Caenorhabditis elegans: one gene and its partners. The protein of the gene in region 1 purifies or fractionates together with the protein of each later gene. This does not show direct contact. Each region holds a gene or a part of one and is shown in the gene's direction. Other genes may lie near its edges.

Region 1 (10,299 bases):
ATACACTTCCACTCGTCTTTTGGTAGTCGGAAATGCGTCATTTTTGTGTATTTTTGTGACAAACCATTTTTCAAACTGAAATCACTTTTTTTCTCGTATTTCTATTGAATGCAGTTGTGACTTTTATGAGGTTTAATTTTGAAATATGTAGTATGTGATGGAACAAAATGTGCACTTACAGTTTTAAGCTATATTTATTCGTGAGAAATTTGATTCAAATGATGGAAAATGGGTCGTAACATTTGCGCGGGAATTCGAAAAAAAAGTGCTAGAGAAGCGGTCATTCTTCTATCATTTAAATCAAAGTCTCTCATACTCAATTTCAAATTTGCGCGTGAAATCCAATACATCATATTTTACGCGCAAGTTCACAATTGACGGGTGCGTAATATATACTTTGTTATTTAGGTAATATTCGCGAGTTAATCATTTAATCTTTCTGTCCCTGTATAGTTTTTATGAGCTGTTTTGTAATATATTTCTAAAAGTCACGTTTCTAGACGCAGCTGACTCGAATGAATTTTCAGCGAAACGAGAAGAATTCGAGCGATGCGTGATAGAAGCACTCTTGTGTCCCCCCGGGTAATCGGCTCACAGTACGTCCATTTCATGGTCATCACTAGGACTTTGGAACTTTTGAAATTCTTCCTCTATTTATTCCCTTTCTTGCCGGATTATAACACGTAAACCGATGTTTAGGGTGTAACGAAATAGTACACATTCAACTTGTTTTTCTATATGAGTTGTTTTAATGACAAGTTTTTCGACTTTTCAAAAACCCAAGGGGACAGGGAAGAATGAAAGTTTGAATATTACTATTTTTTGAAATCATCAAATGTTTCTTTAAAGGCACATGCTTTTTTTTGGCTAGGTCTCACCGCGGTATTTCGGTATACGACAGTGTTCCTATGCCGTATAATCGGATGTTTATAAAATTTCAAATTTTAGAAAAATTTTCAAAAAAGTTGAATTCTTTCTAGTCTAGAATTCTCATCATTCTGAAATGATATTTCCTCACACTCGAACTTTGTCCCATGTTTCAACGAAATTCTCCGAAACCGGAGTGTCTCCACGAAAATTGGTGCACCTTGTCCCCCATCCTAATCCGATTAGACTGTTTTCTTGTTTAATTAATTTGTATTAAATGACGTCTAAACTGTATCTTTTTCCAGAAAATCATTGCAAATGCTTGAAGAGGAACAAGCTCTTTTGGAAAAAGTCGTGGAAACTTTAAGTAACGATATTGAAGAGAAGGAGGAAAAGATTGAGAAGTTGAGAAGATGTAAGTTTGAAATATTTTATATTTTGATTTATTTTGAAATTTGGATTTTAGTCTAACTATAAATCATCCCCACAGTTTTTGAAATCTTACAAAGTTGTCAAGAAAAAGTTTTGCAAAATATGCCAAGTTTTGCCATAATGTCATTTTTGGTAGATTTCCGAAATGGCTAAAAACTGAGTAATTGGTATTTTTGCTTGTAGGAAGCTCTAAAAAGAAACTACAGTAACCCAAACCAATGTCTTCATTAAATACATTTTCAGCATATACAAATGGAAATGGTGCATTAGCAAACATTTATGAAGACTATCGTAGTGGTTTCAAGAGTGGAATCGGTGCTCGTCCAGGCCGATGAGAGCATCTTTTCTCTCAATTGCACAACATTCACATTCATCACATCATTTAACAATTTTCAACTGATCGTCTTCAAATCATTACGGGTTATCACATTCACGACGGATCTCTGTTCCACATAATAAATAAAAGATCGTCTAATATTTTTTATTTGAATAAAAACTGTTGAAGCTTTATTCTCGAAATTATTTTAATGAGATACAAAAAATAAGTAATGTCGTGGTTCAGTGTTGCATTTTTCTTGGCAGAAACACAAAAAATATTTCAAAAATGGTTAAAGTATCATAATTTCAATGAATATTTTCATTGTTATATACCCTAATTGAATTTAAAAACTGAATAATACAGTAATCCTTTAAATGACTACTGTAGTGTTGATTTACGGTCTCGATTTTTGGAATGAATCAAAATCATTTATTATCACAATTTATTATGAATAGAATATTAAAGTTAAGCAAATAATGAGAAAATAATTCTAAAAAACGAAGGAGGATAGATTATCGCTGCTCCAGCTCGTAAATCGACCCAGGCGCTACAGTAGTCATTTAAAGGATTACTGTAGTTTTCGGTACGAGATATTTTGGGCGTCAAATATGCTGCACAATACGTTTTCTCTAATTTGCGAAATTAAACATTTTCAAACAACTGAAGTTAATAATTTTTGAAATCCGTGAACTTTATATCTTGTTTATACATCTTGAAATGTTTTATCCCCCCTTTTATAAAAAATAATCAATTCTTAATTTAAAACGTTTCGAAATTAAACGATTTAAGCTCGACTGCTCAAAAATGGAGCTGAGCCCGAATTTGAAAAGTAACTTGAACAGCGAAATGAACGATTTGGTACAACAAGTGAGTTTCATGATTTCTAATTTTTAAGCAGACGTATTTTTTATTATTTTAAGGCAGAAGAATGGGCTCAATCTCAACATCGTTCAGCTTCTCCTGGTGCATTGAAAGATCCGAAACTTTGTGCAATTTACAAAATGATTCTACAAAATTCGGCTCTACTTTTAATCGAAAAATCTGGTGTAAAAACTGTGGAAGAGTTTCAAAAAGTATTCGGACCAATTATTGAAGAACAGAAAAACAAAGAAGATGAGATTATCGAATTTGAGGAATTCGAGGAAATTGAGAAAGCCCGAGCAGAACTAGCTTCTCCAACTTCATTTACAAAATATTCGATGATGCTCGACGAGCCATTGTCTGCGTCTCCTTTCAATCGTCGCCGAACCTCTTTGTTCTCGGATCTTCATGTACTGTCACCAATTGCTTCAGCATCTAGTGAATCTTTTGAGAAACCTAAAAGATTTGCTTCGTCCACTCAACACGCTAAAAAATCTTTTGTCACAGTGGAATCTACTAGAACTCCGTGGAGAAGATCAAACTCGATGTATCTGGAAGATGTGCTCAACAGAACAATTAATACGGTTTGTGAATAGTTTGGTTGAGGCTCTCGATTTTGGGAGAGGTGTCTGTCATAAAATTGAGAATATCGTATTTCCATAATCGTTTTGACATGCTTTCTTAAAGGCACAGATTGGTTCAGATGGGTCTCGGCGCGCAAAAAATTTATGGTAGTCTTTTTTTTTTAAATATTTTCAGCTTCTTCCTCGTTTATTTTTCTTGCATTTCTGAATAAAATTTCTTTTAGCCACTATTTTAAAAAATTTTTCCGAAAAAAAGACTACCGTAAACTTTTTGCGCGCCGGGACCCATCAGAATCAACACTTGCGCCTTTTTACAATAAAACATTTATTCCAGCCACTGAAGTCCCACAGTGCTTCAAGACTGAATCATTTGACACCATCACCTCGTCCTGGAGAAACGCCATTGGAGAATCGAGCGAGTAGATTGAGACGAATGAAAATCGAAGAGAAAATGAATGAAAACTTCTAAAATTTCTAAAAAAGAGCCATATTAATGAATAAAGTATTGTGTAAAATAAAAAAGCCTTCGTAAATACAAATTTATTAGTGCTACAGTGGCCTAAAACAATAAAGAAATAACAAAACAAGTCGACAGATTACCAAAGCTTCTTCACATCGAACACTTCACGAGCCTTGTGCCGGGGATTCTCATTGCATTCTACGTGAAGACGACCCTCGACACGAAGAAAGTAGCAACTGCGGCAACGCAACTTCAGACGCGATTTCACCTGAAAATTAAAGTTTTAGAAAAAAAAACCAGACTGAGAAAAAATATGATTTTTGATTTTAAAATGCGGGGGTTTCTCACATTATATTTTTATTAGTTTTTATTTCACATTTCGTCTGTAAGCTTGATTTTTGAACTGAATAGCTTTTCGACGAACTACTAATTAACTTTTTAAAAACTAACTTTAAATCCAGCGGTTTCCTGACACATGGGATTTCTGACAGCAAGAAGTTGCCGGATGATGGAATTTCCTTGCGAAAGAGTTCGGTTTAATACTCCGGACATTTTGCTGAAAATATGAAATTATTAAGTATTTTATTTGTATTTTTAATGTTCAAAAAATCTTAGAGTTTGAAGAAAAGGAAAAAGGAAACAAATAATTAATCAAAAAACCAGAGAAAAAGAAAAAAACATTAAAAAAAGAAATTGCAAGTGCGCTCAATTGAAACAGGTATGAGAGAGTGGAGACGCAGAGACATCGCATCAGTCAGACGACTCTTCTCGGGAGAAGAAGACAGCGCCGTGCTTAAATATTCTTACTGTATTTTTATATTTTCAGAGAAATTGGCGTTTTTATTTTTTAATTTTCTTTTGATTTCTTGTTTTTTGTGTTTTCTCAGTAAATGTTTGAAGAAACGGCCGGCTTTGTGAAATTTTGCAACGGAAACACTTTTCTAGACCTCTTAAAATTTGTTTTCAAAGCGCTATTGTTTTGTTTCTAGTTTGATTATCATGTAATACTATTCTATGTTTCTCATGATCAACGAACCAATGTAAAATTCAAGATTCAATTTACAATTCAATTTACGAAAAAAAAGTGAATTTTATTATTTTTCCTTTTTCCTTTTGTCGACAAAACTGAAAATAAGAATTTATTATCCTCGAAATGTCACACAAATGCCTCAACCAGAAGAAGTTTAGAGGATTCAAAGTGCCGAAAATCATTCGCTTCGTTTATCTAATTTGAATTTCGCGCTAAAATAAGATTTGTGGAATCCTCGGCCGTGTACTACTCTCGGACAAATTCATTTTTAGATTTTAGGAGATTTTCGTTTTTTTCTCATGATTTTACTTAATTTCTTTTGATTTTTATTTCAAAGGCTATATGTAGGTTTGTAAATGCGTTTTAAATTGAATATCAGTTCAATAACGCTTAAAAACAATCATAAATCCCGTTCTTCTGATAAATAACTTCAAAAATCAGTTCGTTCATTTTCCTATGTTTTTATTGAATAAATAGTACGATTGTGTTCTAAGTTTTCCATTTTCATTAGGAAAACACGAAAAGTCGTGAAAAAATAGAAGCTGAATTCGCTTTTTTAAAAATTATTTGATTTTCCTGATAAACATCTGGATTACCGAATTACACACCTGGAATCACTCCGGCCAGTGGAGCGCACTTGCACACCCCCCGCTTTTCTCAAACTACAGCGGCTGCAGCGGCTTTCCTATATCTTCACCAAGAATGGTGTGAAATTCTGTGTTCAGTTGGCGCAGTGGGTAGCGCGCTCCGTTTGGTAGAAACACTATTTGGTTCGATTCTATGTAGGGTGTTTCTTTTTTTTTTTGTTAAAGTTTCACTTTTCTTTTTTTTTTTCCGGATGAAACTTATTTTTTGACAACTTTTAGCCCCTCAAAAAGCTCTGATAAAAGGCTTAGACGTCAGGTCCCAAAATTGAAAAAAAAAGTTCCAAAATTTTTATTAATTTTTTTTGTTTTTTTCTTTGTGAAGTTTTTTTTTGTAAATTCGATGAAAATCGAACGTTCCTTATGAAGGCACCCTTAAAGAATACAAGCTGGAGTAAAACCAGTGAGAAAAGCGGGGGTGTGCAAGTGCGCTCCGCTGGCCGGAGTGATTCCAGGTGTGCAATTCCGTTAGCGTATAAACATCGAAAAAGTGAAAAATGCCACCCTTGGCATCAACTTAATTCCTAGCCTCAACCAAAAATGTTCGTGTTTCTGTCTAAAAAATTTTACTTTTTTCGTTTTTCGATCTCAAAAAAAAATGTTTTGTTCCGGATTCAGGCCTAGTCTAGTCTAGTAATTACCTCGAATTATTCATTTTATGGATTTCCTTCAATATTTTCCGATATCATCGACCCCTGTCTAGCCTATAGGCACTATAGTTATCTTCCAATATATCCCTCTATTCTGCCCACGTGTAGTTCTTGATGCGACACAATAATGTCCTTTCATATCCGTTTTTCTCAGTTACCATCCATCTTTTCTCTACATTCCTGCAATAACCTTGGGCCGATTGTTTCCTTCTTGGATCGATTCCCGCTATCAAGCTCTCTTTTTTTGCCCATTTACTGCCGCATCGTAATTTCGTTATCAAATACATTTTTGTCACTTATGTCATTCCTTTTTGACCTCGATTTGTAGTCACGAAAAACCCTAATTTCTCGTGTGTTTTGTTCAATTGTTTATTTACCTTTGAACAAACAGGAATTATTTGTCATTCTTTTCCAATAAGTTCAATTATCATCTTTTATCATTCTTATCATATTTAATATCTTAAAAGTTCCGATGCCCTTGCAAGCTATACTCCGCCTATTAATTGGATGAAATATCCCAGAGACCCTGATCTAGGTGTCTGCGCAAATGATCAGGTCATACGTGAGACCGTTAAAAGTTCATTTTTTGATGTTTGCCAAACAAAAGCTCGTTTTCATAAGATGAAAATTGAATTTTTCGATTTTCTGTAGTTTTCTCCCAGAACATGACAGAAAATAGTTCCAATATACTTACCAAATGTAACAGTAAAAAAATGTATAGAATTCCTCTAATTTTTAATGAGAATTTACCAGAAAAAAGAAGACCTAATTTTGCACTATTTCCGGCTAGAGTAATTGGTTTTTTTGGAGGAAAAATGTCTGAAAACGCAAAACATTTAAAACTAGGTTATCAATTTGCGCGGGATAAATAATTTAGCCCTTTTTCTTTGAAAAAATTTAGAAAATTTCTAAAATTTTTTAAAGAGTTATATCCAGTATTTATTGAGACTTTTTAATGGTTATCGATAATGGTGAGCCTCACCCAAAATCTTGAGCCTCAACCAAAATCGTAATGTTTATCAAAATTTCCTGATTTCCCACAATCGTCTTATTACAGGAATTTTTCTAAATCTGACCGAAACTGTTCATTTTGTTCAATGATCACAGAACCTAACCAATCTGTTATTGTCCCTCTCTATTCAATTTCGTGTGTTTCCTCTCTTTTCCAAAATAGGTTATTTTCAATCGATGGTTCACTTGTTTGTGACTCGCCCGTGGAGGTCATGAAGTCGAAACACTATTTGCTTCATTTAAATCTAAGAATATTCTAAAATTAAAATTCTTTTTCAACTTATTTATTCTCCCACCTCACCCCACCTCAAAATGCAGTCGTCTTATCGGCGAACTCTGGAATAGTTCTCTGGTTTCAGATGCGAGTGGAGTGGAAGAGAGTGGCATGATTCTTTGATTGAGAGGAAAATGGATCGCATTTCAGTTTTCCACTTCACGAACTTTTCAAATTGTAAATTATAGTCCATTAAAAAAAATAGTAACGTTATTTTACTTCATTGTTTTCGAGGTTTTGAACAGCTATAAAATTTGTTAGAAGCTTGAGAAAAGTTTGGTTTTTTAATTCCAAAAAATCAACCGTTAATTTTAAAATCTTGCTCATTCGTTCACTACAATCCAAAATGGTCTAGTTCAGTTTTATTTGTTTGTTTAGATGTAAAAGTTGCCAACGCATAGACTTTCTCCTTCTCCTCGTCCATTTTTCATCGTTTTCCTTCCCTACTTGCATTTTTCCGGTCGCCCCTCGTGCTCTTCAGCTCCCTATGAGCGCCTTGACGTGTTCGTCATCCGGCCGTCTTTCTCCTCACATCTCCGCCAGCTCCTTCTCATTTTTCTCTGCCGGTTTTGTTTGTGTGCCTCTTCTTCTTTTTTGAATCTGTGAAAAGCTTCTTCTTCTTCTTTTTTTGCACGAAATCTCTCTTCCTTACTCCTGAATTCTTTTGATTTTACTATCTTTTGCAGGGTCCCCATCTCCGCGCGCACGTCTTCACAGAAATGAGCGGAATTCAGCCAGTGCCCGGAGCCAAGTGAGCCAATTTCCATACACTTTCACATTAATTTTTTCCTTTTCCAGGCCTCTGTCAATGTGGCAGCAATACGGACCTTCAGAGAAGACGGTTCGTGGAATTGTGATTGGAGGAATCACTGGTGGTATTGAGATTTGTATTACATTCCCAACGGAATATGTCAAGACACAACTTCAACTTGATGAACGGTCTGCTACTCCAAAATTCAGAGGACCAATTGATTGTGTAAAACAAACAGTGAATGGACATGGATTCTTTGGTCTTTACAGAGGATTATCTGTTCTTCTCTACGGATCTATTCCAAAATCTTCATTCAGGTATGGAAAATACGCTTTCGTACTGTCAAAACAGAACTGATCGGTCAAAAAAAATTTTTTTAATTTTTCGAATTTTTTTGCAATCGAGAAACGGAGAAGTGACATCCTTGTTTATAACTAGGAATTATCAGAAATTCTGAATAATATAATTTTCAGATTCGGAACATTTGATTTTCCGGGAAATCGAAATTTTTCAACAATTTTAAAATTTTGTATCAATTTTTGTAGTTTAAAAAAATACGAAAGCGTGCAATTTACTTCTAAAACTAGAGAAAAATTGTCAAAATTGAAATCTAGTTTTCGAATTTTCCGAAAAAACGCTCTAAATAATACATTTTCTAGATTCGGAACATTCGAATATCTCAAATCTCAAGCAGCAGATGAACGAGGAAATCTATCTCCAGTAATGCGACTTCTTTGTGGATTGGGAGCTGGTCTCTCTGAAGCCGTATTTGCAGTAACACCTATGGAAACTGTAAAAGTGAAATTTATTCATGATCAAGGACTTGCTCAACCAAAATACAAAGGATTTGTGCATGGAGTTGGATGTATTGTAAAAGCAGAAGGACTTGGTGGTATATATAAAGGAGTTACTGCAACAATGGCCAAACAAGGATCCAATCAAGCGATTCGATTCTTTGTAATGGAAACTCTCAAAGATTGGTATCGTGGTGGTGACAATACTCAACCGATCTCAAAACCAATCGTCGGACTTATGGGAGCAGTTGCTGGAGCTGCTTCTGTTTATGGAAATACTCCGATTGATGTAGTGAAAACTCGTATGCAAGGTCTCGAAGCGAAAAAGTACAAGAATACTTTGGATTGTGCAATGCAAATTTGGAAGAAAGAAGGATTCTTCGCGTGAGTTTTGGAATAATTAACTCCAGATTTATATTATTAAAACAATTTTCAGCTTCTACAAGGGAACAGTACCTCGTCTTTCTCGAGTCTGCCTCGACGTCGGAATCACTTTCATGATCTATGACAGTATTATTGAATTCCTTGATGTTTATTGGAAGAAACAACAATAATTCCGTCTCTAGGCGTGTCGTGTTTTTTGTTCAACTCCTTTCATGCCCTTACCAATCTAGTTGAATAGCATTTAAAGTAGGGATGGGCGGCAATAAAACATAAGTGATGGAAGATAGAAAAATATTTGATCAGTTTGAAAATAACTTTTTTTTTTGAAAACCTTTTTAAATAAAATAAATGTTATTTTCAAACTAATCGAAATTTTTTCTATTTTTTTATTTTTTTATTCAAAAAATTGGGTCATTATACCGAAGACTTGCCGCCCATCCCTAATATAGTAAATTTCTAACAGCTTCCCCCATTTTTTATTATTATTTAGTACTGCTCACCATACCCTCCCTGTAGATGTAAATAGTTCGAGTTTCTCAGTTTTCATCCTAACATTGCCACGTATTCCGTATTCTGTGATATGATATTTCTTCACGACCCCCGAAAATGTTTTTGCCAATCCGAAAGTCACTTTTCACCAATTTTTTTTCACACTGGTGCATATGTTTCACAAATTAGGTTCTGCTTTCAACAAATACCTAGAAAATTGCAATAAAGTTCAATTTGACACAAAAATAATTATAGTAATACAATTTTGTGGCGCTGTGCTGAGATACGGGTCTGCTAAATAATTAGAAGACCAATCTTGGTCTGCTAAATAATTAGCAGACCATACTTGATTCTGCTAAATAATTAGCAGACCATACTTGATTCTGCTAAATAATTAGTAGACCATACTTGATTCTGCTAAATAATTAGCAGACCAATTATCTTCAATTCGTCGAATATTTTTTATAGGTTATGCTTTCAACAAATATCTCGAAAATTGCAATAAAGTTCATTTTGACACAAAAATAATTATAAAAATACAATTTTGTGGACGTGTGATGCAGCTAGAACGAGGCATTGCACAGTGCCACGCAATAAAAAAATAACTCAATAAACTCGTAATTTGTGAAAAAAGATGAGAAGAGAGAACGCGAACAAAGAATATTTAGGAAGGAAGGAAAATAATCCTAATTGAAATTTGCGAAACCTATAATGATATTTACATGTGTTCTGGATGGTTTCTGAGACAA
Region 2 (10,989 bases), on another chromosome or scaffold:
ATACCAAACCAACAGCTTCAAAATAAAATATACTTTGATTGTTTTTCCATCTTCCAAATAGGTTGAAAACTATTTTCTATGTTTTTTTTTAAATTCAATTTTAATCCCTATTGAAATGTTACTTTCCGTTTCCCTATCTATTTCTCTAATTTTACAACGGTCCTCACCATTCCCCTAGGCTCCACCCACCTTCCAAAGAAGAACCCCGAATATTGGGCGGAGCCAGAACCTATAGCTCTCAACAGAGATTCTTCATTTGTTTTGTGAGTTGTTGGTGCAAAGAGACAGAGCATCATTACTTCCCTTGGGGCATATTATACCCACCCACGCAATTTTTATTAGGTTCTGTTTTTGTTTTTGGAATTTTTGATTTGATCTAACCAAGTTTTAAGATTGAACTATGAGCCGATCGGTTATTTTTCGCATGCTTCGAAAATTGCCATGAACCAAGAAATTACAGATTTTCAAACTCAGTGGTGCTATTTCTCCTATTGAGTGCAAAAAAGAGTGAAAATGATGAGCACATTGGCACTTGTTTCGTTGGCGATTTTTGGAATTGCAGTTGTCTGTGCTGCACCAAAACCTGCAACAGTTCCTGTTGCAAATGAAGAAGACTATTTGGCTGCTCTTTATGGATTTGAGGTGAGCTTGGAATTCCATAGGAACTTAATTAATTAATTTTTCCAAAGACTGTGTCAAAAAGGCAAGTACGTACACCTGAAATTGCTCCTATTTTCAATAGATGAGATATCCTTTTTTTTCAATAAATGTAAAATTTCAAATTACTATAGGTAGACATAAAATTATAATACAACTCATTCAAGCAATGCTTTTGATATAGTTGTGTTCAGCCACCAAATTTATAGGATTTATGTAAATAATGTTTTTCATTAATATTAATTCCCTATTCAAATCGTGTTATGAACCTCCCAAGACGTAATGATGACGCAAAATTCTTTGATTGTCACGTATTTAGAAGGAAACGGGAAACGAACTGATTATTCACTATGACTTTCCAAGTCTAATCTGGAAGTGCTCAGGCTCAAAATCATTAAACTTGTTCTTTGATTCCGTAGTACTGAAAATAACGAGAAGCGGGAAAAAGTTTCAATTACGAATTTTCAAGTCGTCTAGAAATAGTGAAATTGAATTAGACTTTGAATGAAGAATCTAGATACGTGAGAAACGGAAAGATGCTAAAATAGTGACATGTCTTACGAATTTGGTGCAGAAAAAGAATTAAATATTTTTCAAATCGTGCGCATGTAGGTCTTTCTATTTTACAAAACTATTATTTTGGGGATCTGAAAAAAATCTGAAAAAGAAAAAGGATTTAACCCTTACATCATATTTATATCGAGATAATCAATTAAAAATAGATTTTGTTACGTTTTGAGCATTAAGAGTTTTTTGTTCATCTGCATCTTCAATTAATTTCAATTCCAGGCCCCAGGATCACAATTCAAGGGTGCACCACTCCAATCAAAACGACATATTTCACCATCATACGACGTAGAAATCGACGCTGGAAACATGAGAAATTTGTTGGATATTGGCAAGAGAAGTGCTCCAATGGCAAGCGACTATGGAAATCAGTTCCAGGTGAGATTATAGTTGAATTTTCTTTAATGACCCTAGAGTATCTATAAGTGTAATTTTATAGTAAGTTTGCTCGGGAAAGTGAAGCACAAATTTTTAGTAAGGCTTTTATTGTAAACGCGCATGGTTGTAGTTTCCAAAAAATGTGGAAAAGTTCTTTATATTCAGACTTCGCTCTTGTTTTCCAGAATTATCTATTCTGAGTTCATTTTTCATCCACCCACACTATCCATTCCATCGCCAGTTCTTTTTCTGCTCCTATCCATTCGTGATTTCATTCTTTTCATCACTTCTCTTCCTTTATTTCATTTCCTCCATTCCCCATATTCTCCGTTGTTACTCTAGAATTAGAATGCATACATTGAAGAAGAATATTCTGTGCATCTTTTTTTCCTAACGGCAAAAAACGGAAATGTATGGGCGTAGAGGATTTGACATAGAAATGGAGCATAAAAGTTCAATTTCCTATGGGTGACGTGGAACACGGGTGAAGAGAAATACTAGATGTTGCGACGAGAGAGACTAATGGGATAATTGGATAATTGAGGCGATGAATTATTTTTGTTCTGATTTCTTCATGTTTTTGAGCTATTTTTGAACTTTTCAGTTGTAAAAAATATGCGCAAATTGAATTGATAATGCGGAGTTACCATGGCTATTTGAAAATTTGGAAAATATATTTTTAAAATTTTAATGGACCTCGGAAGTCATAAAATAAAGTTTTATTTTCTGGAGATACTTGAAAAAATATTTTTCCAGTCTTTTTTAATTGAAATTTTTTTGTTACCCGTGCCGTAAAACAATTAATTTTTGACTGAATTCTTCCGTAATTTCAGATGTACAACCGTCTGATCGACGCTGGAAAGAAGAAGAGAAGCCCTGCAATTTCTCCAGCTTACCAATTTGAGAATGCTTTTGGACTTTCGGAAGCTCTGGAACGAGCCGGACGTCGTTAAACATCAACAAATAAAATACCATACCAACGAGTACATCCAAATAGACAATTGTTTCCCAATAAATAATTTAAAGTTTTGCCCAACTTGGCCGGACTTTCAGGTTTGCCTGAAAGTTTGTTCATACATCCCTCTCCACCTCCGCCCTCTTCCTATTCATGACGAGAATAAAGTGTTTTGTTAGACACTACTACCACTTTAAAATTAGTATATTTATAAGAAAATAATCATAATAACAATGGAAAATAATGAGCTCTTAAGAAAATACGAGCAAAAAAACCGGAAACTTGATATGCTCCCACCCACGCCAAAAATCATGGGAAAGAATTGAAGACAAATAACAGGAAGTTTGGTGCAAAAATAATTGGGATATATTCTCCAAATCCGGGCGGCTCGTCTGAAAATCAAATGTGAAACATTTTTAATCAATGTAGTACGAAAATAAAGATTTTCAAAATGAACTTTTTTGGCAAATACTGAAATACTACCTTGTGTTAATACTACTTTTGCTTGAATACTACTATTGCTAGAATACTACCTTTGCTAGAATACTACCAAATTGCTAGAATACTACTATTGCTAGAATACTGCCATTGCTAAAATACTACTTTTGTTGCTTAAATACTACCTTTTCAGAAAATTTTATAATTTTATTCATTTTTTCATTGGAATTCTTATTAAGTACTATTTCTGGTCAGATATTTTGAATAAGAAATAATTAACACAGCATTTTTTATTGTAGAAGTGGCTTGATCGGTTTTATTTAGGGATCAAATTCGAGAGTATTCATTTGTAGTGAAATTGATTTAAATTCAGCTGTAGACCGTTCTCAAAAAGTAACTCCGCTTTTAGTTGTTAGCTATTTTTGATTGAAATGGTTGTAAAACAACAATAAACTAATTGCAGAATTCAAATATTTCTTCCCAGAGTGAGGTTGTAAATACCCACACTCGTTTATAGTTTTACGACTACATATCGTCTCCTTTTTGTTTTGATGACACACAATTATGGCTAACTGATTCAAACATATAGCTACTAAAGTATTTCACTTTCAAACACTATATCTACAAGCAAACATATTTGCTTATCAATATCAGCCATATTGGACACCTTAAAAACATATCCCATCTTCAAACTCTCACGATGGCTGAAGAAAAAAATTTTTTTTTTTAATTTTTCAATTTTTTTTAAAGTTTAGGTATTAATTTGCTTTGATGTGTCTAGATATTAAACAGCTATTTGATATTTTCATACATTCTTGTTGTCGCATGTTGATGATGCTCAATCTCAAAAAAGGCTAGGAAAAGTTATTTTTAAATTTGACCGTCGCTCACTTAAGAAACTTTAAAGTTAGAAGAAATAAAACATTACAAAATCAATAAACATGTTAAAAGCTACATTTCTTCAGTTAACCATTTTCATGTATCTCTTTTCGTTGCTGAGCTACGTTGTGTTTATGTACTCAGACGCTGTTAAAATTTCACTTCATATTATTCCAAACTCTAGCCTGTAGCTCAAATTTCAGTTGTCTAATAAAAATGCTGTCAACTGACAAAACATTTGTCGCACTATTTGGCACATTTGGTTTACTGCGAATAATGTCAAATGGTGTATTCTTGCAGACTTGCAGACATCTTGCAGACATGGGGGCCTGGAATACGAAAAGGGATCTAGATGTTATCTGCCAACTTTCAGAATGAACTGAAGCTTCTAGACCGCTTTTTTTGTGTATGAACTCTATAAAATTTTCAAAGAAAAAGCTATCCCATACGTTGAAAACAAAGTTGTTTTGTACTTTTCCGCTTCTTTATTTTTCCCACATTAATTTTGCACAAAATTCACTCTATAAGAAATTCATAAAAACAATAAACGTAAGGAGAATGCTATTCATTGATGATCCTGAATGGAATAGAATATCAAGCATCTTATCCAAAATTTTCTTAAAAGTTCAGAGCATAAGGTGTTCTACAAAAAATTTAAATGTTCCAATAGCCCCAAAAATAGCCGTTCGAGAAAAGTGATAGATAGACACTTTTCAGGATACTACAAAGTGGAAAATTGACGAGAAAATTTGGGAAACCGAGTTTAAATTGGTTCGAAATAGTCGTTTGGGTGAGCACTTCGGTGAGCAATAAAACAAATTGTTCACGAGAACCAAAATAGGATATTCTGAATATAAAGATCTCAGGATGTATACATTTCGGTAAGAAAAAGGATTTGGGGACTGTGAAAGTTAGGAAGGGATCCTAGGTGTTTCGATGTTTGAGCTGAACAATCACAAATTAACATTTCTGGTCAAAGACGAGTTTCCCGTGCGGTCTATACATTTTTTGTATTATTGAACAAAGGTATGTTTTCGGATGTTTTGCATGTAGGCAATTGCATAAATATTCGTTCAATATCCGAAAAATTCTGTAAATCTTGGTTCTTTATTATGCTTTCTAGTCCGTGTGACAGTACATATATCGTAACTTCACTAGATTTTTAAACTCCTTCTTAAGAAGTGTCCCAGCGCGCAAAAAAGTTTATGGTAGCTACCGTAAACTTTTTGCGCGCCAAGACCCATCTGAATAAATCCGTGCGCCTTTAAGAAGGAACGTCAAAATCTAGTGAAATCACGATACAAATTATATTTTCATTCCAATTGTCATTATTATTTTGAGTCAAAATTTAACTCTTCCGGGTTCCCGCAAAGTTCAAAAATCCAAAAATCAAACGCTTGACTACACTATTAGAGAGTGCATGAAATCGAGAGACACCGACATTCCATCGGGATATCGGAGTGTCGTTTGTTTGGAAACATTTTTTTTCGAAGCGATTTTTTGATTTTCGTGAACAATTTCTAGTTTTTGTAGGGTTTTCGAACTTTTTCTAGTTTTGTCAAAAGAAAAACTGATTCATTGATGTGTTATCAGTGATCTTAATTTGTTCTCTCATCTCCTCGTGATTCTATTTTTGAGAGAAATTTGAGAAAAATGTTTTGGAAGAACTGAAGGAGGTGGAGCACATAGAACATTGAAAAAGCATTCACATGTGAGGTTTCGATAGCTTTTCTTTTATCATTCACTGAGTTTTCTTTTTGATTTTTTCTCAATTCAATTGAAAAAATATTTTAATTGTTTCCATTTTTGCAGAAATGTCCTTGAAACTGGCCAAGCAACTATCTAAAAGTTCAGTTATTTCCCTCTCAAGGTTAGTGTTCTTCTACAAAAGTCGATAATTTTTTGAACTGTGATTTTCAGGCATTTCACAAATGGGCCTCGTCTACCAACAAAATTATTGCACGCAAAACCTGGATTCGTGCCAAAATATGTATCGGCAGATGAAGCCTTGGCGATGGTGAATTCAGGTTTGTATCCGAGAAATTAAAATTAAAAATCTCTAAAATTCAAATTATTTCAGATTCTGATATCTACGTTGGAAACCATGCGTCTGCTCCCAATGTTCTTCTCGAAGCACTTTGTCGTCGTGTTGATTCGGCAAATCTCAACAATATCCGAATGTCTCATCTAATTTTAAGCGGAAATTGCCCACAATTCGACCCTAAATATCACGGTGAGTCAATTTCAAGTATTTTAATTTTTAAATTTACTGCTTTCAGGAAAAATTCAAAACAACAGCCTGTTCATTTGCCCGGGAAATCGTAAAAATGTTAATTTGGGCGCCGCTGACTACACTCCGATTTTCCTCTCTGAAGTTCCCTCTTTATACACAAGTGGAACATTGAATGTTGATTTTGCACTGATTACTGTCTCTCCACCTGGTAAGAATTTAAATTTGATTAAAAGTCGCCATAAAAAAAAAAGCGAAAACAGGGTTTTGTGATTAACAACTTTATAAAAATTAAAAATTTGTTTTTTTTTCTATTTCAGATGAGCTCGGATTCTGTACACTTGGAGTCGACATTGACACAACACTGGCTGCAGCGACTAGTGCCAAAAAAATTATTGGTAAAAATAAATAATCAATAAGTTGCAAAAAAATATTTTTTCAGCCCTTGTCAACAGCACAATGCCCCGTACCCGAGGCCACACTACTGTCCATTCTTCTCATTTCGCTGCAATGGTTCAAACGGATCGACCAATCGCTTTCCGTCAGTCTGGTGGAGAAGAAATGTCTGAAACCGAACAAAGAATCGGAAAAATAATTGCCGAGAACCTTGTCGACAACGGAGCCACCCTTCAACTCGGCATCGGAGCAATTCCAGACTCGGCGTTGGCAGCGATGAAGCAGCACAAAGATCTTGGAGTTCACACGGAAATGTTTAGTGATGGAGTTATTGATTTGATTGATCGTGGAATTATTAATAATCAAAAGAAGGCTTTTATGCCAGGAAAAACTGTTTCCTCGTTTGCTTTTGGAACAAAGGAATTTTATAAGAAAATCGATAATAATCCAGAGTTTTGTAAGTTTTTATTTTACCAATTGTAAAAGTGATTTTAATTTTTTTAAAAATAACTTTAGAACTGTGCAAGGATACCACAGATATCCGTTTTTGCTGTTAAAATTAATTCAACGATTTTTTAAAATTTTTTAGATATTTTTTGTTGGTTTTATGAGCGAAACAGAAAAATCGGAAAAATACAAAAATTTTGTAAAAACGAAAAAAATTCCAAAATTCAAAAATGTCCCGATGAGGGAAAAACGAAATCTCGAAAATTTGGAAAATTCCGATTTTTCGAATTTTTTAAAAATGGAAAAATCGAAAAAAAAATGTTCAGAAAATTAACCATAAAATATGATTTTTATCTAATTTTGTTTTTTATTGATAATAAATAAATAAATAAATTGATTCTAAAAAGAAAAACAATGACCAAAATTTTAAGCTAATTTTTGAAAAATCGAATTTTATAATACAAATTTTTAAAAATTGAAAAACGAAAAGCCTTCGATTTTTCTTTTTAAAAACCGCCACCCTTGGTCCCAATTATGTGTTCATCAGAACCGTTACAGAGAAAATTGTTTTTTTAATCAGAAAAATTTTTAAAAAATTAATTTTCAATTTGGATCAAGAAATATATCAAAAAAAAATTGTAACTACAGAAACCCAAAAAAAAAAAAATTCGATTTTTTCCATCTTCCAACTAAAAACCCAATCATACTTTCAGATTTTGCCCCATGCGACTTCACCAATCATATCGACATCGTCCGCCGTAACAGTAAAATGACATCAATCAACTCAGCGATTGAAATCGATTTGACGGGACAAATCGTATCGGATTCGATTGGACGCAATTTTTTCAGTGGATTCGGTGGACAAGTCGACTTTATGGCTGCCAGTCCACACGGATTTGATGGACTTGGAAAGGCGATTATTGCATTACCATCGAGAACCACTAAGGGACAAACGAAAATTGTTCCATTCTTGACACAGGTTAGTTATAAACGGAAGCTATATTGAAGGTTAAAGTTCAATTTTCAGGGTTCTGGAGTGGTCACGACACGTGCACATGCCAGATACATCGTTACCGAGCATGGCATCGCCAATCTATGGGGAAAATCAATTCGTCAAAGAGCCTATGAGTTGATTCAAATCTCTCATCCGGATGATCGTGAAGCTCTCGAAAAGGCTGCATTTGATCGATTCAAAGTGATGCCATCTGCGTGAGAAGCGAATCAATTGCAGCTCCCTCAACTACTGGGTATAATGGTTACCGAGTGCCCGATTAAATCTAGTTTTCATTTCTTTGTATTATACGGTTCGACTTCTGATGTGTTTTCTTATTGCACATAGGTTAAATTATAAAAATGTTATTTTTGAAACTTCACACTACAATAATTTATTTGGAGGTTATCTGAACATTTTGAAGGAGAGTCGGGCGAGTGTGGAATCTACAATTATAAAACATGGATGTAATGAAAGCATACAGGAAAAGAATCATGAAGAAATATCAGAGGCAATTCTAAAGTTGACAAAAAAAAAGAGAGATGGAAGTGATCAAGTGGGAACAGTACACATGTGAAGATGGGGAGTGGTGGGACAAACACAATTAACCGATCACGATCACGTACAATTTTCAAATCACTTGTTCATCGATGTGGCTATCCGTGGTGGATGTTCGGATCGGAGCCCTGAAACCCAACACAATTTAAGAGGATTTTAGTGCTAATAGCATAGTAAGAATTACTCGACTACATAAAACGTTATAGTTAAAAACGGTATCTTACCGAATGTTGTGCATTTGGATAGGCTTGAATGATCAATGGTGGAGCAACTCCCGAAGATGGTGGAACTTGACTTGCTCTCTTGGACTCATGATCGATTCCACATTTAAACATATCGAAAAGCTCTTTCTGGGTTCCACCAATCGCCTCATAGGCAACTTTCCACAAATTGGAGGTTGAATTGTTCCGTCCCAATGCTAACTACATTGTCCAGCGAGCATTTTGATGAGGCCGGGGCATTCCAGTGAAGTCAGGAGACGAATTGTTTCCAGCCAAAAGGGGACGTTCTCTGAAGTGATAGGGTGAGATACCTTTGCTTGATCCAAGAAATCCTAAAATTACCTTTTTTCATAACTTTGTCTCCGTTCAAATGTCTCTAATCAAATATAAGGCCTACTATAGACTTACCAAATATCCAATTCTGGAACCATCCGCTTACAATCTCGCGGCAAATTCTACGAGATGCTTTCCAGTGTACGACGGATTAGTATCCATGAACATTTTCACAGCTTCTCGAGCACCGTCTGCACATTTTACATATTCCTCGTATATCGTGATGGCACGACAAACGTCTCTGAAAGGATTATATCATTTATTCGTACACTTTATTAACATTTATTGGTCTTTTGAATTAAAAAAGTTTTTATTATAAAGTTATTCACAATAGATTATCAAATTATTGCTTATCAACGGCAGCAACTACCGGCGCAGCGGCTTTGGCTCCGAATCGTTTTCCTCTGAAAAAATCATATTTTTGGGGAAAGGAGGTTGAAGCACTCCTACCGGAACACATTTTGAATTTTCTTTGCAGCGTCTTGAACTTGTGGATCTTCCAAGTTGATGTCGATTTCTTCCTGAAAAAATATATGTTAGCGGGCAAGCTAAAACTTTTTGAACTAGACTAACAAAAATATGTTTAGTTTATCTGGAATCTCACGTAGTTATGTGTTATGCTCATGAATTATAAATAGCAGTAGCGGAAATATTCAGAAAATTTCCAAGAAAACTTGATCAAACTGGAACATCAATAATTCTCATGATGTACTTAAATGTGTATGAATATTGTAGATGGAAAGTTGACGTTTGCAGCCAAATTCAATAATTGGAAAATGTTCGAATATCGTCTGCGAAAATCCGTGTGCGTCTTTATCAGTACGGTAGTTGTTAAATGTTCTTTAGTTTATTATCATTTTTATCCAAGGTAAAACATACAAGGATATTCAAAGAAAGAAGATCATAAAAATCAAAAAATTTCCAGAAAAAGTTGAGGTGTATTTAATAGGCGGTACTGTATTTTTCCAGTTCCCTTTCTCATTATAATTTCCAACTTCCCGGTGCAATTCGAAAATGTTTGAATAAGGTTCTTTTTTTCTGCATCTACTCCTCCATCTGCTTCCTTTTTTTCACTTCTAAATGAGTTTTCCCTCCCCTTTCCGAATCCATTTGCTCGTGAGCGTATATTTATGCGAAAAGTGCCGAGAAACGGCGAAAAAGGACGAAGAAGAAGCAATTTGGCACACAATTCCCCCCTTACGCACATTTTCTCACTATCTGATGATGGGTGTGTGATGTTTAAAAAACGGATGTCTGAAATGATGAGAATCGTGAGTGAAGGGCTCCTGAGCCACCTGTCCTGGGAATTCTATTTTTTATTCTTCTCTTTCGTTTCAAAAACTAGGAAAATTCAACATTTTCGCTATGTTTGTAGCAGCTGCAAAGTTGCTATTGAATATGGTCCGCTGTCAGTTGGGTCGTATCACGAAAACAATTATTTTGGCACACCTTCAGTAAAACAGTTGTAGAAATTTGTCGGGTACTGTTTTCAGATAACTTCTTGCTATATGCAGAAAGACCAGTTTCCGAATTTTAAGATGAAAAACTGCCAGATTTTAGTTTTCTGCAACACACTTAACTAAATCTCAGCCATATTTCTTAGAATTTTCACAAACTTGAAGCATGGAAAACAATTTTTCATATGCCACCGCTCCGTAAGATAGAAATTATCTCCGTTATATGAAGTTTTTATAATGATCAGTTAGAAGTATGTATATCTCGGCATTTGTTGGAAGCATTCCCATATACTTTTTTTGCACAAACTAAATAATATTCCGGATAATATATGATAGTTTCTAAATACTTAATGAATCAGCTATCTTACTTACCCTTCAGTAAGCAAACCTACAAAAATGCTTATTTGAGAATGAGATAGACTTTTTGAATCGAAAGTTAATATAGAAACATAGGAAACTGCTTGATTCATTTGAAAATAACT
Region 3 (11,309 bases), on another chromosome or scaffold:
CAGAGCAAAACCCGAATTTTAATTCAATTAAAACATGCTTTTTTGGGGGTAAAAAGAGCAACAAAAATTTTTTTCAAACTGGGGAAAGCCGTCCTGGGCTCAATTTTGCTCCGAACTTAGTGCCGTTTTTTGCTCCACCGTGGGGCAAAATATTTCTAGTAGGATTTCAAATATTAGAGCATGAAGTCACACGGTTCAGGAGTTGTGAATGAAAAACGAAGTGTGACATTTTTTCGCAAGCCAAAAAAAACGCGAAAAAACGCGAAAAAGGGGCGGAGTCGCCACACTCGGCATTTATTAGAGGCTGCTTGGCAGAAATACAAATCAATTAATTGGATAGTTTGCAAGAATATCACCATCAACTCGATCATCACAGTTAATGCCGTAACCCATAATTCTTCCAGTAGGTGTGTATCCAGAGGTTTTCAATGCATTTTCATCCTCATCGCCAGCCGAAATTTTTACCTATAAACGGAAAAATTAAAAATTGGAAACTTAGAATTTGGAATCTTACTCCAACATTAATATTTTCCATTTCCCTAATGGTACCAATGGGAAATCACATTTATTATCATCGTTTGACTCGAATGCATAACCAAACTTTCCGAGCCATGTGACAGGAGTTGTTGGAACAATCATAGCAATATCCGTGCTAAGTCTAAGAAATCCTTGCTCTTGATTAACCCATTGGAATATTGTTGTTATTTTTCCACATTTTTCAAGTTCCTGCAGAACTATTTGACTACTAAATGCACATGCCTTTGTTTGATTAACTCTTGCAACACTTTGAGATTGTGGAACTATTTTCAAATCCCCTCCAACTGAGAATTTAGTTTGAGGGCGAGTACCAGCAGGCCTGAATAAGTCGATTGGAGCGGATTTGATATATTTAGGGACATATGGTGACGGAGTCGTAACATCATCTTCTACTTCTGTTTCAATTAGACTGTAATGCATTAATGGTTGGCTTATATAGAATTTAGCTGAAAACTCACGAGTAGATAGGTAAATTTGTAGGGATTGATATAGGCTCAAATGCGTAACCAAGAGTTCTTACAAATTTGTAGTGGATGCTCATATGATCTCGATACTGACAGCCGTAATATTGAGCTGGGAAATAGTTATTGGTGTAAGCAAATACTGAAAAAAAAAGTTATTTAACTCAAAATTAAGTTTTCAGGTTAGTATAACAAATCATTGCTTTATGAGAATGAGTTCTTACAATTGTCTTCTTCGGAAAAATATTCATTGTATTTATGCAATCCCACCATCCACTCTGTTGATAAGTAACCCGATTTCGCCACAAGTTTATCAGTTGAAGCTGGAGAGATCTCGAACTTAGATCTCCCTTCCCGATCTATTACGTGATACACAGCTCTGACCTTTTGGGGAAAGTTTTGGCACGAGTCAACACTACAGTTAAGATCTTTTAGAAACATTTCCATTGTGAATCCACGAACTGCGTTGAAAGATTGAGAGTTGAAGTCTTAATTATTTTTAGATATAAATATGAAGGGATATTACAAAATACCAATATTATTTAGAACATCCGATTGGGAAAGTTTGATGAAAAATACTGACTTCATGGGTGACGCATTTGTATCAGCGAATCGAAAGATCGGTTCAAGGACAATTTGTTGAATGACTCTCTTTGATTCAACATTGAAAAGAGCATAATTAAAAATTAGAAAAATGAGAAGCCTCATAATTTGTATTATAGGATCCGGTAAACTACCAAATCACAGAACAAAACACCTACAGTAAACTCGTGGCATTGTTATCATGTTAATGAACTGTTAATGCATATTCATCACATCTCATTTACAAAAGAAAGATAACAGGAAGTTAGAAAATTACATGGAATAAAAATATGAACACTTTGTTGAATGAGGGGTTGAAGAGGACGCTTTCAGCAATTTATGCACCGCAAATTTTTCGTATTCTTATCAACTTCGCAATTAATTTTCCATGTTGTGTGTTTTATTTTAGTTGTTTTAATCAATCAATATATTTTTTTCGAAAAACTATGGAAGATCTAATAATATTCCAGCACTATGAAAGTTTGAAACTACAGTATTCTTTAAAGGCGCACATCTTCCCGTATTGAATAAATAATTTTTGTTGAGACCGGTACCGTATTTTTGGCTTAAAAATAGCACAATTTTGCATGTGAGATATTAAGATACGTGCAAAGTTCATTTGCATTCATAAGAAATAGGTTTTGTCTTTTCTTGAAAGCAAACATGTCTTTAAATATTATTTTCCACAGCGCCTCAGATCGGGAGAGAAGAGCTAAAGAAGTGGTTTTGGCGCGGGAGCGCGTTTGCTGCAGACGTCGCACGAATTGGAATTAATGTGTAACAAAACAGTAAAATATCGCGTTTTTGCTGGATTTTAGGGATTTTAAAGCAATTTTCAACATGCGGGACCGCCCAGAGACTGTTCGCGATGCGATTTACTTCATTTTAATATAAATTTTCCCCCAAATAAGCTCGAAATGAGCTCTGAATTTCGGCGGATCTGAAAATTTTTTTTGACCAAAAACAGAATTTTGCAAATAAAAATTGATTTTAGAGCAATTTATTGCATAAATATTCAATTTTAGAATTTTTACTAATAGTTTGAATCTTTTTAAAGTGTTTTAGTCATTAATTTGACTGATAACACAGAAAATGATTTTTCTTTACAACGAAATCGATAAAAAAGTAAAGCAACATTTATCAAGGGAAATCTTGCAAAATTGGTTAAAAAACTTGTATGAAATCAAAGATTTCACTAGAATAAAGCTACAAATCAATCAAAATCACTAAAAGTACAAATAGTTCTGATCAAATTTCAATGTTCCAATCTACCAATGGATCTATGCCACGCCAAATTTCTTATGCAAGTGTTGCTCTCCAATTTTCCTTAAAAAATGGATCAAATACTCACATAAATGATCAAATTAACATTTTTTACAAGTTTCGTGTTATATTTTCTTTTTCTTAATAAGGAACCATCAGGTTCTTCCTGCCCTCTACGGCTCTAGATACCTCAACTTCGACAACTCCTATCTACTCGGAGAGGTGAGAGAACTTGTAGAGCACATCAAAAACTATGATATTCAATTTAACCTGCGTTTTTATCTTTCAAGATGGGGGAGTTAGACGTACATTTGTATTGCATGCTTTTTGTTATTCTACTGGCTGCTCTAACTCCCTCATCTTAAGAGATAAACACATGATTTTAACTAATTAGTATAGTTTCTACAATTTCCTAGTTAATCACTTTTTGATATCTTGCATCTCTGAGGAGATAGGAGTTGTCGAAGATACAGTATCTATAGCTATGCGCATATGAAGAATCTAATGGATTCTCATCATGCTATACTACTTATCATCTGCTTTTTGTGGGAAACAATGATTCAAAAATGTTTTTTCAAATGATCAAACAAGTTGTGATTTGATCTGAACATTTAGTGTTGGTTTAGTGAAGATCAGCTGCCAACTAAACAGTTTCCGTTGATGTGGGCATTTTTGAACAATTTCAAGACGTGAAACCGTGTTATCTCTATCAAGCTGACGTTTAAAAATTGGAATCAAACATATTAATGCTTGAAAAAATTTGTTTCGCGTAGAAATTTTGTCATAAAGTTAACTTGTTCTAGTCGGTTCGAAAATCAATGAAAAAGCAGCCAAATCGTGAATTTGTTGAATAAAATGTTTTTTAAAACTTTTTTAAAGCAATAATAATCCCAATATTTAATTATTTTTTCCAAATTTCATCTTGAAAACTCGAATAATCGCGAAATTTCGTCTGAAACTCATTTAATACCGTAAAAGTGTGCAAACGCGCTCCGTTGGACTTTCCTATTCTCGATTTTCTTAACTCTCCCGATTTGAGGCGCTGTGTTTTCCTGTTAAAATGCGTTTGTCAACGTTGACAACTCAACTACGGTTGCCAATGCGTGTTTGCGTACACACTCGATCCCACGCGCAACTGCATACGCCGCGTTGGTTTTAATTCCATCTTTTTTAAATTTATTTTCGGCGTTTGTATTGATTTTTGCTGTGTATTCCTTTAACATGAACTGATTTTTGTCCATGATAACTTTTGAACAACTTAATATTCATTATCGCATTTTTCTTACATTTATTTCCAGGTAATCATCCGAACAATTATGAAATCTCTAGTTATCTTTCTGTCAGCTATCGTTCTTGCCCATTCTCTGAGGTTCTACGTGCCACCAAAAGAGAAAAAGTGTCTGAAAGAGGAAATTCACAAGGTAAATACTTTTACAACTCCTTGTTACCATAGCAGTAAAGATGTCAAACATACTTTTTTTCGTTAAAAATTGATATATTTAATAAACATCAGAATTTATGTCTAATAAAACCTCTTGCAGAATGTGGTCGTAACAGGAGAATATGAGTTCAGTCAAGGAATTCAATACACTGGAAGTATTCACGTGAGTAAAAATAGTTTCAAAATTACTTCAAATTTTTAATTTATTTTCAGGTCACCGACACCAGAGGCCACACTCTCTACAAACGTGAAAACTTTGCTGATCTAAAAGGAAAATTCGCGTTCACTGCTGACGAATACGACATCTTTGAGATTTGCATTGAGAATCATCCACCAGCTGGGCATCCTGGAGAGAAGCGCGAGGTTTCTCTTATTTTGAAGCACGGAGTCGAAGCCAAGAATTATGATGATATTGCCAAAGCCGAGAAGCTGAAGCCACTCGAGGTTGAACTTAGAAGATTGGAGGATATGGCTGATTCAATCACCAAAGATTTCGCATTCATGCGCCAAAGAGAGGAAGAAATGAGAAATACGAACGGTAAGTGTTTAAAAAATCATTTGAATCATATAAAAGGTTCGTAATTATTTTAATTTAAAAATAATGCATTGCCGATTATCCAAGTACAGTGCTCCACATAATGATACGGCCACCCCCAAATTTTGGTATAACTCAAAACTGGGTTGAGATAGCAAAACATAATTTCTTGTGAAAATGTCCGCTGTACTGGCTAACTTTCAGATAAGTATTGGAAATATACATGAACCGTTCGTAAAAAAAGATAAACCATTTTTTCATGAAAATCCATATAAAAAAATCCACAAAATGATACGGCCACCCTTGGTTATTGTTTTCTTTTTTCGTTTTCTTTGCAATTTTTTTTGCTAAACGTTAGGTTTCATGTTCGTTTGTGTTTTTACAGCTATGTGTCGTGGAATAACTTTAACTGACTACGGAAAAAGACAAATTGTGCAAAATTATCTCAAGGCTTTTCGGATCGTCAGATTTCTCGTGATTTGAAACGTTCGAGAGATATGATCATTCGATATGCTTCAAATCCTGCCGCTCATTGCACCAAACAGTCTTCTGGTCGCCCACCACTTCTTTCTGGTAGAGACAAGCGAAAAATCGTTCGTCGAGCATCAAATTGAACAGTGACTTTCTCAAAAATTAGGCGCGAGATGAACCTGCCAGTGTCTGTTGAGACTGCACGACGTGTTCTTTCGAATTCCCAGTTTATCAAAAGACGAAAATTGAGAAAGGCTCCTTTCATTACCGAAAAAACCGCTAAAATCGTATTCAGTTAGCTAAAATCAGCCAGAGAACTAACTGGAGACAAGTGAAGATTACCGTATGATCATTCAAGCCCAATTTTGGTTTTAGTTCATCTTTTCTTCTCTCAAATCGTACCAGTAATCACGGTAGCCTTCTGGTTCATCACAGTTAAACTTTTCCTCGTCACTGAAGATGATCTGAGACCAATACATGAGCTTGAATGATCATACCGTAATCCTCACTTGTCTCCAGTTAGTTCTCTGGCTGATTTTAGCAAACTGAATACGACTTTGGCAGTGTTTTTCGGTAATGAAAGGAGCCTTTCCTAATTTTCGTCTTTTGATAAACTGAGACTTCGAAATAACACGTCGTGCAGTCTCAACAGACACTGGCAGGTTCATCTCGCGCCTAATTTTTGAGCAAGTCACTGTTCAATTGGATGCTAGACGAACGATTTTTCGCTTGTCTCTACCAGAAAGAAGTGGTGGGCGACCAGAAGACTTTTTGGTGCAATAAGTGGCAGGATTTGAAGCAAATCGAGTGATCATATCTCTTGAACGTTTCAAATCACGAAAAATCTGACGATCCGAAAAGCCTTGAGATAATTTTGCACAATTCGTCTTTTTCCGTAGTCAGTTAAAGTTATTCCACGACACATAGCTGTAAAAACACAAACGAACATAAAACCTAACGTTTAGCAAAAAAAAATTGCAAAGAAAACGAAAAAAGAAAACAAAAACCAAGGGTGGCCGTATCATTTTGTGGATTTTTTTATATGGATTTTCATGAAAAAATGGTTTATCTTTTTTTACGAACGGTTCATGTATATTTCCAATACTTATCTGAAAGTTAGCCAGTACAGCGGACATTTTCACAAGAAATTATGTTTTGCTATCTCAACCCAGTTTTGAGTTATACCAAAATTTGGGGGTGGCCGTATCATTATGTGGAGCACTGTATTAAGCTTTTATTATCATTGTTAATTAAATAGATTTGTAAGGCTACAACATATCGTTTCGAGACGCAATTCATTCTCTTCACGGAGCAGGATATTGTGATCCCTGGAAATTGTTTACCACTTTACTTGAGCAAACTCTAATTATTCGATTCATCGACAACCATCTATTTTTTACTTTTTTTTACAGAATCGACAAACAGCCGAGTTCTTTACCTGTCCATCTTTTCAATGCTGTGCCTTCTTGGTCTTGCCATTTGGCAAGTTCTTTTCCTCCGTAATTACTTCAAGTCGAAAAAGCTTATCGACTAGATTTCCCCAACCCTTAATTTATGATTAATTTATCAATTTTTTTTTCGGTTCTCCTCAACTTCTTGCTTTTCCCCCAACATCTCTTTTGTCCACACACCCAAACGTTTCATGTGATTTCTAATTGGTTCCCACATCTTTTTTACTAGATAATGATGATAATGAGTATTTTATTTTGTTGGATTTTAGTTGTTTCCTCCCCCGTTAATCTGCACAAGTATCAACAAAGGGTAAAATGTATAGTGTGTAATGTTTCCGTCTTATTTTTCTGTTTTCATCATTGCCGTTTTTTAAAATCATTATTATGAACTTTTAAATTGAAACATTGAAACATCAATTGGTAATTTACTCACCATATGGTGATTTAGTAAAGTACATAAGATCACTTTTCAAGAAGTCTTTTTCAGACGTCATCCTTTCAGAAATAACTTCAGACTTCATTCTCCACCAGTTCACTTACAACAATGATCGGTCTACATATTTTCCACTACGCCGGCTTTTTCGGAGCACAAATCTTCAATACTGTTCTGGCAATATTAATTGTGAAAAGAGCTGGAAAACTGTTTGGTAGTTACCGTCATGTTATGTTTGTATTCACATTTTGTTCGATGTTGTACTCTGCAGTAGAGATAATTGCACAGCCGGTACGATACAATAGAAAATTGGAACTTGAAATTGAAATTTTGAGAATGTTACTTCAAATAATCGTCTTTCAGGTACTATACATGAAAGGTCCAATGTTTGTCGTGTTTCTTGATAATAACGTTTTTTCTCAAGGCATTGGAAATGTAGTTGCTTGTTAGTTTTAAACATTTTACTTTTCATAGAACTCTTAAACAAAAAATGAATTTCCCTCTTTTTTTGGTTATTGAAGTGAAAACAACAATTTACAGGTCTTCATTGTGGTACCTTTGGATTTTTGATTTCTGTATTTGCGGCACAGTTTTTCTACAGATACATTGCATTGTGCAGGTTTTCTTGAATAGATTCAACAAATTTCTGATTGAAACTCTTTTCAGACAAAGTCTGTTATCTTATTTCGATGGATATAAAATATTTTTGATCTTCATTCCATGCGTAATTACATACATTCTCTGGTTTGAACTTGTCGTTTGGGGAATGTCTGCGACTATGGAAAAACGAATCTATTTGAAGTTAGTGATAATTTCAGCGTCCATGAGTAGTTCAGTAGCTTTTTGAAAACGTGGCCTCTAGACGTGATGAATCAGTTCTGACACCTAATTTCAGAGATGATTTTAAAAATATGTATGAATCAGATTCAATGATGATATCTTTTATTGCTCCGTTGTACTGGAACAATGGACCAAATAGAGAGAAAGTTTGGAGATTTAAAGATGCAGCCTCTGCACTAGTCTGTACTGGAATTATTGTAAGTTGCCATACCAGTTTTGCCAGAACACAACTCATACATCTGCTCTGTGCCTTTGTATAAATAGAAATATCAAGTAACAAACATTTAGGGATCATTAACAACTTTAATTTGCTTCTTCGCGTTACGAATTTATCTAAAAATGCAAAAAGAAAAAGGTCATATGAGTAAAAGAACTCTGGAATTGAACAGGCAGCTTTATATAATGTTATCAATCCAGGTATGTTTTCTAGATGATAACATATATTTTAAATATTGAAATGTTAAGACTATTGTCCCATTTATAACAATGTACATCCCAGTGGGTCTTTTCATTGTTCTCCCATTTTTTGATATGGGATTAGGTGCGTATGTGAATTATCCCAGTGCCAGTATGTCTTTGTATCCTGCAATTGAACCATTAATTGCAATTTATTGTATAAAAGACTTCAGAAAGACTATAGCTAGTAAGTTTAATAAGTATTCTTATCGTGAGAATTATCACAAATTTCAGATTTCTTCCGGAGAGTTCGTGTTGGTCCAAATGGCATAAGTGTGTACAGTACTAGTGGAACACAGATGGCAATCAAATAAACAATCATATTTTAAGTATAACGTTTCCTACTATTTTTGCATGCTCTACTTTTTTTTAAAAATAAAGTTCATATGACTATATACATATATGAATATTTTCATTCTGGTTCTTTGAAAATATGATAATACTTGATCTCAATAGACTTTAAGGATCGATCTAATAAAAATGTTACTTGGAATACAACTTACTAACTTGTAAAAAACATTGGCTTCAAGTTTTCTGAAATGAGAAAATTATCCCTCGAATGAAAGTAATCACAATTTTTTAAATATCAAAGTTCTCACTTCTCTTGTAGCCTTCCCGAAAGAACTATGAACACAAAAAACCAACTTGTTAGAAACCTACTGCCAACTTTAGTGATAAGTAAACAAAGAACAGTGTGGTTACAAGTTTCCGTTCGTTCTAACGTAAATATAACAATTGTCGCTAAAGCTTCAATCGATTTGTGCTCGGGTGCCTGCAACTTCCCGTGGGGTGGTCTCTGAATCTCTGCACTCTCTCAATTATAGTCTACTTTCCCTTGCCGACTTCCCCATCTTTTTGAGTGTAATTTCACCTTGCTGTTTCTTTTTCTTTTTTTATTTTGTGTGCTCCTCAGTTAATTATAAAATGGAGGAGAATCCTCTTCAATGTACGATTTGTAAAAATGTAAGTTTAATTATGATTACTTGATGTCTAAAAGTAACTTCGATTAAGGAATTCGAAGAGCCAATACTTCTCAGTTGTCAGCATACAACATGTAGGAAATGTTCAACTGGATCACCTAGTTGCAAATCATGTTCTCCAATACCATCTACATCAAGAAGCCATACACCACATCCAGACAAGTTGGCTGCCTTTTTACTAGATGCTTCAAAGGAAGAAATGGAAGAATGTGCAAATTGTGAGCAGGTGGGTATTTACAATTGTTTGTCTACATATCATATTATTTTGGAGTTGAAAATTTAAAACTTGTAAATCCTAATTTTCAAATAAGTTTCTCCTGTTTGTTTTAGTTGTTACTTGTTCTTTTAACTTTAAATACTTTCAGATCTCACTTCCCATGTTCTACTGTGAAACTTGTCAACAATCTTTGTGTCTAGTGTGTCGAAATGTGACTCATCAAGCCAGAATGTTCTCCTCACACAAAATCATAAGTTCCGATGAACGAAGTAAAGTCTACAGTTCCTCACTGTGTAAGGACCACAATGAGCCGTATATCCTATATTGTTCGGATGTTCGAAAACTTGTATGTATTCAATGTTTTAATGGAAGACCTCTTGAAGAAAGGCACAGCTTCATTTCGATTGAGCAGGGGCATAGGTTGTGTCTGGAGCGAATCGAGCAATCCGCGGCAAAACTTCGATTTTATCAGTCAGAGCGACAAGAAGAACTGAATGTAAGACAACGAGTTCTTGATGAGAATGCATCGAATTTTGACGATGCGAGAGCTTCTTTGTATCAATTATGCCAGCAAATTATTGATACTGTAATGACAACAAGGGAGACATTGGCAAAAGAATTAGTGAAACAACAGGAGCAAAGTGATGAACAATGTAAAAGACAAATTAAAGAAATCGAAGCAGTTATGGTGAGTTATTAATTTATTTAATTTTAAAATATCAGGTTGTCCCATAAGTTTTTGTACTTTTTTTCAAATATTTTTCCAAAACTTCTAGAAAGTTTTAAAATTTTTTCATCGTAGGTCGTGTCAAGGTCGGGTCGTCCCCTTTCAGAAAAGATTCATTTCATCCATTTCTACTTTGCCACGATGACAATCATCAAACTTGAACGTCGAGACGTTAGATTGCTTCTTCTTTATGAATTTCGTCTTGGTCATTCAGCAATGGAAGCGGAACGAAACATATGCGGTGCGATGGGTGAGGGAGCACTCTCTTATAATACAGCAAAGAGTTGGTTTCAAAAGTTCAAGAACGGCGACTTCAGTCTCGAAGAAATAGAACGTTCTGGGCGACCGGTAGAGTTAAATGAAGAAGACCTAGTGAAGCTGGTGGAGGAAGAGCCTCGTCTTAGTCTTCGTGAAATGGAAGAGAAGCTTGAGTGTTGTCATAGCACAATTGCACGTCACTTGGGTCGCCTTGGTTTTACTTCAAAACTTGGAATTTGGGTGCCTCATGAACTTTCGGCATCACAGAAGCTCACTCGGGTCAACGTTTGTACTCAACTTCTAACTTTTCGTCGAAAGTTCGATTGGCTGAACAATCTGGTTACTGGAGATGAGAAGTGGGTGCTCTATGTTAACCATTCCAGAAAACGTCAATGGCTTCCGATCGGTGAGAAAGGAATACCGACGCCAAAGCCTGATCTTCACCCAAAAAAGATTATGATCTGTGTCTGGTGGGGTGTTCAAGGACCCGTGCACTGGGAATTGTTGCCAACTAATAAAACTATCACTGCTGATTACTATTGTGCCCAATTGGACCGAGTTGCAGAAAAGACCAACGGAAAATATGAAAAACTATATTTTCTTCACGATAATGCTAGGCCTCATGTCGCCAAGAAGACTTTCCAAAAGCTGCAAGAT

What was found.
Region 2: the proteins of K11H3.3 (region 1) and ZK1320.9 fractionate together in Caenorhabditis elegans (co-fractionation; one large-scale study listed by BioGRID). This does not show direct contact.
Region 3: the proteins of K11H3.3 (region 1) and tmed-10 fractionate together in Caenorhabditis elegans (co-fractionation; one large-scale study listed by BioGRID). This does not show direct contact.

Annotation. Positions count from the first base shown.
Region 1 is NC_003281.10:9,844,036-9,854,334, forward strand, and holds K11H3.3 (Putative tricarboxylate transport protein, mitochondrial), read left to right. Parts: upstream 1-7,818; 5' UTR 7,819-7,851; coding exon 7,852-7,883; intron 7,884-7,930; coding exon 7,931-8,200; intron 8,201-8,542; coding exon 8,543-9,061; intron 9,062-9,113; coding exon 9,114-9,231; 3' UTR 9,232-9,799; downstream 9,800-10,299. Other genes in the region: K11H3.5 (uncharacterized protein), read left to right, coding at 1,173-1,282, 1,543-1,634; K11H3.2 (uncharacterized protein), read left to right, coding at 2,423-2,485, 2,539-3,063, 3,398-3,532; mrpl-36 (Ribosomal protein), read right to left, coding at 3,660-3,791, 3,974-4,075; gpdh-2 (putative glycerol-3-phosphate dehydrogenase 2), read right to left, coding at 10,269-10,299. UniProt on the Caenorhabditis elegans protein: Transport of citrate across inner mitochondrial membrane.
Region 2 is NC_003280.10:9,681,411-9,692,399, reverse strand, and holds ZK1320.9 (Acetyl-CoA hydrolase), read left to right. Parts: upstream 1-5,686; 5' UTR 5,687-5,688; coding exon 5,689-5,744; intron 5,745-5,794; coding exon 5,795-5,901; intron 5,902-5,954; coding exon 5,955-6,107; intron 6,108-6,153; coding exon 6,154-6,315; intron 6,316-6,424; coding exon 6,425-6,502; intron 6,503-6,546; coding exon 6,547-6,957; intron 6,958-7,660; coding exon 7,661-7,926; intron 7,927-7,974; coding exon 7,975-8,160; 3' UTR 8,161-8,312; downstream 8,313-10,989. Other genes in the region: nlp-11 (Neuropeptide-like peptide 11), read left to right, coding at 514-642, 1,447-1,602, 2,436-2,555; ZK1320.13 (Purkinje cell protein 4-like protein 1), read right to left, coding at 9,394-9,454, 9,501-9,571.
Region 3 is NC_003283.11:11,319,797-11,331,105, reverse strand, and holds tmed-10 (GOLD domain-containing protein), read left to right. Parts: upstream 1-4,141; 5' UTR 4,142-4,159; coding exon 4,160-4,264; intron 4,265-4,384; coding exon 4,385-4,447; intron 4,448-4,497; coding exon 4,498-4,822; intron 4,823-6,702; coding exon 6,703-6,824; 3' UTR 6,825-7,141; downstream 7,142-11,309. Other genes in the region: F47G9.6 (DUF1968 domain-containing protein), read right to left, coding at 462-465, 515-946, 996-1,140, 1,223-1,486, 1,532-1,706; str-141 (Serpentine receptor class r-10), read left to right, coding at 7,286-7,465, 7,538-7,619, 7,715-7,793, 7,841-7,975, 8,070-8,211, 8,303-8,431, 8,480-8,657, 8,705-8,784; F47G9.4 (putative RING finger protein 207 homolog), read left to right, coding at 9,395-9,433, 9,482-9,676, 9,816-10,355.